3 linked regions of the Nothobranchius furzeri genome follow. The protein of the gene in region 1 purifies or fractionates together with the protein of each later gene. This does not show direct contact. Links are inferred from orthologs where the notes say so. Each region holds a gene or a part of one and is shown in the gene's direction. Other genes may lie near its edges. The genes, in order: lrrc59, ybx1 and stau1.

Region 1 (3,752 bases):
ATCACTCGCTGGGAGTAGCCATGTTGGGAATGATCAAAACTAAACTTGAGCTGCCTGTTTGGCATAATAATCCAGTAGGAGGCAAAATACATGTATCAGATTATATACAACCCGTTTTTAAGGCAAATATTGATCATGTCAATGAGATAGAGGTTTCAGAAACTCATGTAGCAAATATGATGCAAATGGCATGGGTTAGTAATAAAAACAGGTCTAAGTTGAAGAGAATACAATATCATAGCACAAGAGGACACAGGTCCTAACAGGCATTTATTAAAGACATGTAGAAAACACAAATGGCCCATTCACCTTTTCTGTGCTGTTTGTTACTTTCTTTTTTTCAGGGTTCTGGCAGTCAGCTGATCGAGGAACCACATTCCTCTGAAATGTTCTCAGGAGAACTAAATGACTTGATTAAAACGATGAATGTCCTCCTCAGTGGCATACAAGAGGAGAGGAAGACCAGCTACTGGACCAGAAAAATTAAGACCATCAACAAAGTTTATTTTGTTTTCTATGTTACAGCTGCCAGTCTGTTCTTGTGCTTTATGTTTTACAGCTGGTTAAGCACAGACTAGCCTTTCCGAAACAAAACAAAAAACAACATCAAAAATAAGTTGTGAGGCTGACTCACAACTGGTTTTTGAGTGCAGAATTGTTTTATGTTAGCAACAATAAATACAAATTGCATAGCTGTTTATTAAAATGATTAATAAAGTGTATGCATTGCACTGTCTGTGAGAAGATGTTTGAGCTAACAAAAAGGGAATTTCAAGGTTTCTCTTTAAAATGGCCCCAATTTGGCACAAATCTTTTTTGGTCTTACACCAGTGAAGTATTAGGTTGAGTACTTTCATTCAAAACCTGCCACATCCACCCCTTTACATGTCTTCCACGTTTGGTAGAAGAGCTTGGTGGCATATACCTCATTAAATAATCATCGATAAAATAAAATTGAAAATAAATACACAAGTACCTAATCTAATCCTTAATTCGTTACATAAGCCACAAAGACAAAAAAATACAGATATCTATAATCATGTCACTGTTTATTAAGTTATTTAATGTTCCTGTGCTGCACTTCCTCCTGCTTTTTTAATCTGTCACTTACACATTAAATCAGGGGGGTGGGGCCAATTGAGTAAAGAAGATTGCTCTGGCCCGAAAAGGAAACACGGAGGTTAAACATTCAGAAGTTAAGTCATACTTTATGGGAAAACAGATTTTTTTTAAATCTGCTTTAAAGTAGCACTAAGAAAACTTAAGTCAGAATTTGTGATGAATGTACTATTGCCTCCATGCTAAAGAGAAGGACAGCGCCTCGGGTTAGGATTTGGAGAGGGAGATTCAAAGCGCGTCTTGTCTCCTCCGGTCCTGCAGGGGACGCTGCGTGGTTTGCGCTAACGTCTCCGCGTAGCAGCTCAATCAGTGACGTGGATTTTCGTTCAGTCAGTGCTGCCACTGCCAGAAACACGATTCAAAGCTTGTGCACCAAATTTCTTCTAACTGACGTAATATACCTGCCGTGTGTTTGTCTTATATGTCGATGTTGTTTACCGGCTGTTAAACTAGGACGCAGTTTTCCACGGTTATCGTTTACAGGTGAGAAATCTTATAAAATCGTCGTAGTTTCAGGGTTTCCTGTTGTCTGGCGATCAGAAGTATCTCCACTGATCTGTTTAACCTCGGTGTGTTGGCAAGAGGCGCCTCGGACTGAAGGATGAGTAAAAACAAAGTGTTAAACCTGAGGGATAAAATCAGTGGAAATGAAGTGGACCTGAGCCTGAGTAACCTCAGTGAGGTACCAGTCAAAGAGCTCGTAAGTCACTCAGGGTGTTTACATGTTTGTAATAAATACAGCCAGATAAGGAGATGTTGTGATGTCATGGTTTAACTACCTTCCTTTCTCTAACAGTCTTCATTTCCCAAAGCCACTGCCGTGGACATGTCCTGCAACAACATCATCTCCCTTCCTGTAAGTGTCTAACTGACTCATCCAGAGCAAATATTGAGCATTTTAAGTGAAAGCACGTGAGTGCATCCACGTCAGTATGTTTCATTAAAGCTACCAAAGATACTTTTTCTTTTAAAAGTTTGAATTTCTATTAAACCGAGCTGTACATTGTTAAATGGAGAGAGTGATTCAAACTTTTCTTTTCTTGCATAAATAATTATAAACTCTAAAATCTCGAGGTTTACCTATCCACTTTCATCTAGTTTCTGCTGTTATTGTTAAGCATGTTTGCGGGTTGATGTTGCTCAAACTGAATAATTTGCAATCATGTTTTTACTTTTATTTTGTTCATGCAGCCAGAGTTCTGCAGCCTGACTCACTTAGTGAAGCTGGACTTGAGTAAAAACCAGCTGACCCGTTTGCCAGATGACCTGGGGAACCTAGTCAACCTTCAACATCTGGACCTGTACAACAACAAGCTGACGGTTCTGCCTGTCAGCTTCTCTCAGCTCAGGGTAAGATATGGACCATGCAGCTCAAACACACCGCCCGTTTTACATGGAGATCCTCAGAGCACTGGATCTGTTTATGTTCCCCGTCCTTGTATAGCTGTGGTGGGGGGGTTTACTCTTGTACCGTGGGCCCTTGCTCTGGCTCTGACTTTGTAAAACATGAGAAATTATGCTGGCAATGCAGAATGTGACAATTTAATTGAAATCTATTCATTATGTTGTTTTTTATGATCAGAAGCTAAAATCACAATTCAAACTTGATAAATGTCACACTCCTGTTGTCTGATGTATCAGTCCAAGTCCAAAGTGACTGTGTGTGTGTGTGTGTGTGTGTGTGTGTGTGTGTGTGTGTGTGTGTGTGTGTGTGTGTGTGTGTGTGTGTGTGTGTGTTTTAGAATCTGAAGTGGCTCGATCTGAAGGATAACCCTCTGGAACCTGGCCTAGCTAAAGCTGCAGGAGACTGCCTGGATGAGAAGCAGTGTAAACTGTGTGCCATAAAGGTGGCAGAGACTCATTCATTAATCAGCTTGTTCACCAAAACAAACATGTAACTAATGACTGCATTTCTCAGGTTCTGCAGCTCATGAGAGCAATTCAGGAGGATGTTGATCGCGCACGGGAGAAACGTCTTTTAAAGGAAAAAGGTGGGTAAATGAAAATGTTCTAGACAAAAGGTGTTAAAGAGACGATCGATGGTGTGAAAGAAAACCTCCTGCATCAAGATTTGTGAAGCTAGATGTTTGACCATTTGTAGGAAATTGGTTTCAGATTAAAGTGTAAAAAGCATCAAAGTCAACCCACTGACCCAACGTTGTCTGCTCGTAGAGCTGGAGAAGAAGAGGGAGGCCAAACAGAGGGAGCGGGAGGCCAAAGAGAGGGAGGCCCGTAAACAGGAAAAAGCAGAGGAGAAGGAGAAGAGGAGGAAGGAGTACAACGCTCAGGTGGCAGCTGCAGCTGCGAAGGCTCAGCAGAAGAAAAATGAGAAGAAAAAGAAAAATGGACAAGCAGCAGGTGAGATCAACGCGATGGTTCGTGTTTGAAATGAGAAACGTTTGTAGTTTCAGCCTGAAGATGTTCTGATGTCACGTTTTGTCTCTGCAGATAAAAACGTTGCAGCAAAGCCAGCACCTAAACCATGCCGTTCCCTCATTGGTCTGGTGTTTAAGCTCCTCCTCCTGCTGATGTTGGGCATGGTAGGAATCGTCGCTGCCTGTCAGCTCACCGACCTACAGAAGGAAGCCGTCTGCGTGCCGATCAACGCCGCCGTCACTGACGGCGTATCCTGG
Region 2 (3,752 bases), on another chromosome or scaffold:
CCATTCCAGAAAGGACCCCCCAAAACCAAAGGCCCGTAGCCTCTCATTAAAAATAAATTGTCCATTAATTACTTTCCTGGTATTCAAAAGGACTGATCGTCTGGGATTAGACCTCCGATGAATCCCCAAAGTCTGTTTGATAAGAATTTAGAAAAAATCTTATTGTCTGAACATAACAAGGAAACTGGTCTCCAGTATTTTAGTTGGGTTAAGTCCCCTTTTTCGGCAGCAGGGACAGAACGCCCCACCTACACGATGCAGGAAGTGCTCCTGTCTGAAGTGAGTCTTTAAAAACATCCATCAGGTCCTGTCCCATACTGCTCCAGTAGAATTTGTAGAAGTCAGCAGGTAAGCCATCTATCCCCAGAGATTTTCCTGCAGCCATCTGGGAGACTGCCGTTGTAAGCTCCTCCATGGTTATGTCTGCATTTAAGATGTCTTGGTCTGCTGTGGTCAAGGAAGGGAGCCCCTGCAACAGCTCTCTGGCACAGTTCACATCACATGGCCTTAAATAGGCTGGTATAGAATTCTCCTGCATACTTCCTCATCTCCACTGGGTCTGTGGATAACTGTCCATCTGACAGACGAAGAGCAACCATTTGTTTTTTTCTGGTTTGAAAGTCTTTTCCAGGTTAAAAAAGAAGGATGTTGGAGCATCCATGTCCTGTAATGTGGTGAAACGAGCCCGGATCAAGGCCCCTTTGGCCCTCTCTTGCACGAAATGCCCAAGCTGTTTTTTTTTTTTACCAGAGACATAAAATCTGTCTAATCTAGCAGCACTAACTCCGAGAGAGAGAGAGAGAGAGAGAGAGAGAGAGAGAGAGAGAGAGAGAGAGAGAGAGAGAGAGAGAGAGAGAGAGAGAGAGAGAGAGAGAGAGAGAGAGAGAGAGAGAGAGAGAGAGAGAGAGAGAGAGAGAGAGAGAGAGAGAGAGAGAGAGAGAGAGAGAGAGATTAACCGCATGCGCTTCACACATTGGCCTGTGCTTGTAAAGGGTGCCAGTGGTGCATGAACATAATATGAGTGGATTCTGCAGTTACCTTTGTCTTTACCTGCTAATATTTATGGGGTGTTTATTTGTCTTTTCTTAGAATGTTCCCACGGTAAACATCACAATAGTAGTAATTATTTCAACTATCTAGAAACGACAAAATAAATTAAACATAAAGTTGTCACATTTGCAACATACCACATGTATGGTTCACAGTTTTGTATGACATAATTCAAAATGCATAATACTATCGGAAGTGTCACAAGCAGAATTCTCTCGCTTTTACGTCACTGGGGGCGTTGAGACTTCTGTACGTCTTTTTGACCAATAATTTCATCAAAGGCTTTGCTCAAAAAAGATTGACAGTCTCAATAGCCAATTGGAAGGAGATTTGTTCAATTCTACATATTTTAGCTAATCAGGAGACGAGATGGGCGGGTCTTCGCCTGGGAACATTCCCCTGCACTGTCTCTTGTTCTGCCCAGTTCGATCGGCAACGGGAGCGGAAAGAAGAAAGCTGAGAGCCCGAAGGCAGTAGCCCCCACCACCGCCGGCCCAGGTTACCATCTAGCACCGGGAAAAATATCAGAGAGCCGCCGCCGGCTGAAGCCATTACCAACGAGTAGTAACCATGAGCAGCGAGGCCGAGACGCAACAACCTCCACAGCCTGCTGCGGATGCGGAGAGCCCATCCAGCCCGGCACCCGCAGCTTCCGCGGGGGATAAGAAGGTCATCGGTAAGAATTCTTAGGCTAGCCGAGCCGGAGTTATCATTTATAATTTATACGCTCTTGGGTGTGGATGTAGCATTTGAATAAAAGCTGCCGTTCTTGCGTGAGAATTTCAGCCACGTCAAATTAATTTGCTCCAGTTGGTAAACGTTAGTGCCAGTTGACGGATAAATTCTTCACTCCTTTGGGCATTCTTATTATAATGGTCCAAAAAATTCAATCTAACGGTTTTTATTAGTCTAGTTTCTAAAAATTGAGTGGTTTATTCACAGATTAAATCGTGAATTCCATTCTGATTATCTCCATTGCTCATCGGCCTCCTCACGTCAAATATCCGTTTGAGAGTCGCGTGTATCCGGCCGGTCATCACATGGATGCTCGCTGTCACTTCCAACCGTTGCCAGAACCACGATGTTTTGACTAGGGTTTAATAACTGCATAACTGCATCTGGACCGCCAATAATTGCAGAACAATCCTACCAAATGCTCTATAACACCGGTTCATGTGAAATAACTACAGTGGCTACGAACGTTAGCTGCTTAACCATCTCTTTGTTCGCACGAAAGAGTCTTGATTCCATGTCAAGGCATTTTATCTAAAATATTCTCCTTTTCCAAAGCGTTCAGTCCCGATTTTTTTGGCCAAATTGTCAGAAGAAACGTTGTTGGCTAGCGACTCCAGCTACATCCGTCAATGGCGGTCTTATTTTGGTTGAATTTGCGTGCTGTCGGTGTGGCCTAAATACTTTACTATAGATCATCGGTTGCTAACCTAGCTACATTAGCCTAGCCAGCTAAGTGGCTATTTACATGGCTTTAGGGGAGGCCGTCCAAAATGTCCGCCGTGTGTTTTCCCGTTTTTTCCCGCTGCTTTGTAATTTGTTCGCTAAAAACTAATTCAAAACCGAAATCTTTATCATATATACCAATAAATACGGATTAATGTAGTTTAGTAATGCGCGTTTGTTTGTTTCTCTTTGCTGGCTCTACTCCAACCACATGGTACTAACCTTAGCCACACAGCCATGCTAATAGCCAGCAGAGCACAGCTCACAGCTCGTTAACGTATCCGGGTGCGACCCAACCACGTGTGAACCTTCAGGTTCTGCGTCCTAAAATGGAGCAGCAGGTCTGCAGTAACTAAACATGCGAGTGCAGAGACTGGTCGCTGTTTGCATCCTCATCTTTGTCATGCATTATGGGACATTTTGGATGCGTCATTTGGGACAGTTGTTGTATCGTTACTGGGATATTTTCTTACTGGTGGCTCATGTTAGGAGCAGCTGGCCCTGGGGTCTCCTAAGCATCAGTGTCTATAATAGGAGTGACAGTTGCGGGTTAAATATAACCTCTACGTTATGTGTGGCCATAGTTTTTAATGTTTTTATAGTTCTGATGTAGTTCGTTAAGTGTCCCATCATGATGGAAGCGTTTCAGTTTCACTTAAGCTATATGGATTTGTTCTAAATGCATGTCAGGCAGACGATGGTATTTAATAATCTTGTTCTGACTGTGATTGCAGCAACAAAAGTCTTGGGTACAGTCAAATGGTTCAACGTCAGGAATGGATATGGTTTCATCAATAGGTGAGTCACCTGTTGGTCCCTGTGTCAAAGTACATTTCTGGGTGTGGGTGAGAGTGAAGCATGCTAATCCTATTAAGTTATGCTTTGCGTACTTGGCTGACCATATTATTTTTCTGCTCATCTCCATCCTGTTGCAACCCACAGAACTTAATTAATCCCCACTGGCTTAGTTTTAAGTCTGTTTGCAGAGGCTCAGCAGAATGCAGCTAACTAAGATTCTGTTCTTTTGTCTAGGAACGATACAAAGGAAGATGTTTTTGTACACCAGGTCAGTTGTTGCTTTAGTTTTTATTCATTTATTGAAATTTGTGGTTAAGCAGACTTGACATTCAAACTATTTGTAATTTCAGACGGCCATAAAAAAGAACAACCCAAGGAAATATCTTCGCAGTGTTGGGGACGGAGAAACTGTGGAGTTTGATGTAGTTGAGGGAGAAAAAGTAAGT
Region 3 (3,041 bases), on another chromosome or scaffold:
TTTCCTCTGTTTAGCCTCTGATTTTCAAGAGTGGAACAACTTTCCTTATCTTTCCAGGTACTACTATCCATTTACCCCGGTAGGACCGATGATTTATCACATGGAGCTCTCCATCGGGGGTCAGCAGTACGTTGGAAAGGGGCGTACACGGCAGATGGCCAAACACGATGCTGCTGCCAAAGCGCTGAAAGTCCTGCAGAAGGAGCCCATGCTGCAGCAGTGTCCAGAGGTGGGAAGAGTAGCCATCACCAGACAGCTTAAATACTGTTTTGTTAATATTTCACATTGTTTTATTTTTAAATGTGTAACAGGTGAATGGAGAATCCGAGGATGAGAACCTAAACAAATCAGAAATTAGCCAAGTTTTTGAAATTGCCCTCAAACGAAACTTACCTGTCATCTTTGAGGTTTGGATGTTTGCTAACATCAGAAGTCTTAAGATGAATGTTCAAGTTGCGACTGTAACAAAAAGAGTTTGTTTTTATTTTTCATTCCAGGTTTTAAAAGAGGAGGGCCCTCCACACATGAAGAATTTTGTCGTGAGCGTTTCAGTCGGAGAGTTCTCGGGAAACGGCGAGGGGAAGAGTAAAAAGATCGCCAAGAAGCTGGCGGCAGCGGCGGTGCTGTGTGAGCTGAAGAGGCTCCCCCACATACCGAGTGTGGAAAGGAAGCTGCCACGCATCAAAAAGAAAACCAAATCTATCATCAAGGTAATGTTGCTCCGGAATCCGAGGTGGGATTAGTCAGATCAGACCCAAAGAGCCTTCATTAAGTTATGATTTACTCATTATGTCCACAGCTGCAGACCAGCCCCGAGTATGGCCAGGGGATGAATCCCATCAGCCGCCTGGCTCAGATCCAGCAGGCCAAGAAGGAGAAGGAGCCTGAGTACACTCTGGTTACAGAGAGAGGTCTGCCACGGCGCCGGGAGTTTGTCATGCAGGTGAGTCAGCTGCAGTTCAGGCACGCTGGCAACAAAGTGTAGTAGTTTTCTACTGTTTACACACGTCTTTTACTCGTTTCTGCTCCAGGTGACTGTGTGTGGCCAGTCTGCAGAGGGAATGGGACCGAGTAAGAAGGTGGCCAAGAGGAACGCAGCTGAGAAAATGCTGGAACTCTTGGGATACAAAGTGCCTCAGCCTCAGCCTCCCAAACCGGCTCTGAAAACGGAAGAAAAGGTGAAAAGCTGAAGCCAGTAACTCCCAGTGCAGACAACATTTACAAAGAGTTTCCACAATGTTTGCAAGGCTTTTTCAGATACCAGCTCTTGTGAAATGAATGTTTGAAGTTTGATCATGCAGGGTGTGTGGAACCTCCTTTTGCTTTGGGAGGGGTTGGTGTCCTATGAAACTAAGTTGTGACTGAATGGAGACAAAAACAAAGACAATCCGACATTTCAGGAACAATAATAAACAATTTAAACAAACAGTTAATTAGTAAGTTTTGATAACATTTCAGCCAGAAAATGTGCGCTAACGGCACAATTTATCCACAGTTTCAACTAAAACTGCATTTTTTTTCCTACAATTGTCAGCAGCCACATCCCAGCGAGATGCTGCTCTCAATTCTTACCAACAAAGTCAAGTTAATTACACAGAAACTCTAAATGTTCATGCAAACCGTGTCCGTGTAACTTTTGTTTTAATAGACCCCCGTGAAAAAACCTGGCGATGGGCGTAAAGTGACCTTCTTTGTGGAGGAGGTGGCGTTAGGTGAGTTTCAGCTGAGACGTCTGTATGATTGGAGCGAAACAAATCTGCTCTTACCAGTGCTGTTCTGTTAGCTCCTAAAGAGGAGGATTTCCGCCTGCCTTACCTCAGCCACCAGCAGCTGCCTGCGGGCATCCTGCCCATGGTGCCTGAGGTGGCCCAGGCAGTTGGAGCCTGCCAGGGACCCCAGGTCAAGGACTACAGCCGAGTTGTGCCCAACCCGGGCAAGGCCACCATCACTGCCATGATTGCCAACGAGCTGCTTTATGCTGGAGTGTCATCGACTGCTGAGACTATCCTAAAGAACAAAAACAGCCTGAGCCAGCTGCCCCACGGCCCCCTCACGAGGCCGTCGGAGCAGCTCGGCTACCTGGCGTCCGTGCAGGGCCTGCTGGTAAGAACCATTGATGAACGCGTGAGCTCACGTTTGGTCAAGCTTAGTGACACCTGCCATTTGCTTTGCAGGTGGAATACAAAGACTTCCCCAAAAACAACAAGAATGAGTTTGTGTCGCTGATTAACTGTTCCTCCCAGCCTCCTCTCATCAGTCACGGGATTGGGAAAGACGTAGAATCCTGTCATGATAAGGTTAGTAACTCCCACAATGCATCAGTATAATCCCACACACTCAGGAGCAACGGTAAGAGCGACGCTTTCAGAAAAAGAAGATGCTTTTACTTTGATATTAAGAATTAAAGATCACAAGGTAACAGATTAGTTTATGTTGTCTCAAAATAAAAAAGATTGTTTTCATGTAGTAAAAGTTTATTTTAAACGTCTTCAGCAGTGCAGTGTGCGCAGACGGAAACGTGATGATGAGGTTATTTGATCTGAAAATGTCAGAGAGGATCTGCTCTCTGTGATTAGGTTTGTTTGAACAGCTGCAGCAGAGGAGTGGGAGTTGAAAACGAGATGCATTTATTGTAATAGCTGAACTGTAGTGACCTAGAAAGTACAACCATTCTTCGGTTATGGATCCTCCTGTCATCAACGCGAAAGGTCAGGCGGATTTTCTTAGTTTTTTAAAGCTAAGCAGTTTTATCTCACAGCCAAGAAGGTTAAATAATAAACAAAAAGCTGAATAAATGTAAAACAAGGTGACTTTAAAAGGATTAAAACATGAATTCTCTATTTTTGAGCCATGCTAATACTAAAGAAAAAGACACGCCGCAGCAGAAACAAATCTTCAGAAGTTCTAGTTTCTGAAACACCCACACTTTTTCTAAAAGCGTTGTGTTTTCATGTTTATGTGGACTGCCAGAATAGTAAACAATGTTTTTAACCTTCACAGGCTGCACTGAATATATTAAAGATACTCGCTGAGTTGGACCA

Evidence for each region.
Region 2: the proteins of lrrc59 (region 1) and ybx1 purify together in Homo sapiens (co-immunoprecipitation; 3 studies listed by BioGRID and IntAct, with this or other methods). This does not show direct contact. The link is inferred for Nothobranchius furzeri from reciprocal best matches to the Homo sapiens genes LRRC59 and YBX1.
Region 3: the proteins of lrrc59 (region 1) and stau1 purify together in Homo sapiens (affinity purification with mass spectrometry; 3 studies listed by BioGRID). This does not show direct contact. The link is inferred for Nothobranchius furzeri from reciprocal best matches to the Homo sapiens genes LRRC59 and STAU1.

What each region holds. Positions count from the first base shown.
Region 1 is NC_091756.1:45,077,628-45,081,379, forward strand, and holds the start of lrrc59 (leucine-rich repeat-containing protein 59), read left to right. Parts: upstream 1-1,098; 5' UTR 1,099-1,511; exon of another isoform or gene 1,512-1,602; intron 1,603-1,629; 5' UTR 1,630-1,720; coding exon 1,721-1,819; intron 1,820-1,915; coding exon 1,916-1,975; intron 1,976-2,310; coding exon 2,311-2,469; intron 2,470-2,861; coding exon 2,862-2,966; intron 2,967-3,037; coding exon 3,038-3,110; intron 3,111-3,291; coding exon 3,292-3,477; intron 3,478-3,567; coding exon 3,568-3,752.
Region 2 is NC_091755.1:32,516,109-32,519,860, reverse strand, and holds the start of ybx1 (Y-box-binding protein 1), read left to right. Parts: upstream 1-1,443; 5' UTR 1,444-1,620; coding exon 1,621-1,726; intron 1,727-3,242; coding exon 3,243-3,306; intron 3,307-3,540; coding exon 3,541-3,574; intron 3,575-3,656; coding exon 3,657-3,746; intron 3,747-3,752. UniProt on the Homo sapiens protein: DNA- and RNA-binding protein involved in various processes, such as translational repression, RNA stabilization, mRNA splicing, DNA repair and transcription regulation.
Region 3 is NC_091743.1:66,052,515-66,055,555, reverse strand, and holds part of stau1 (double-stranded RNA-binding protein Staufen homolog 1), read left to right. Parts: intron 1-57; coding exon 58-229; intron 230-311; coding exon 312-407; intron 408-497; coding exon 498-710; intron 711-799; coding exon 800-943; intron 944-1,031; coding exon 1,032-1,178; intron 1,179-1,648; coding exon 1,649-1,712; intron 1,713-1,783; coding exon 1,784-2,103; intron 2,104-2,174; coding exon 2,175-2,297; intron 2,298-3,000; coding exon 3,001-3,041. UniProt on the Homo sapiens protein: Binds double-stranded RNA (regardless of the sequence) and tubulin.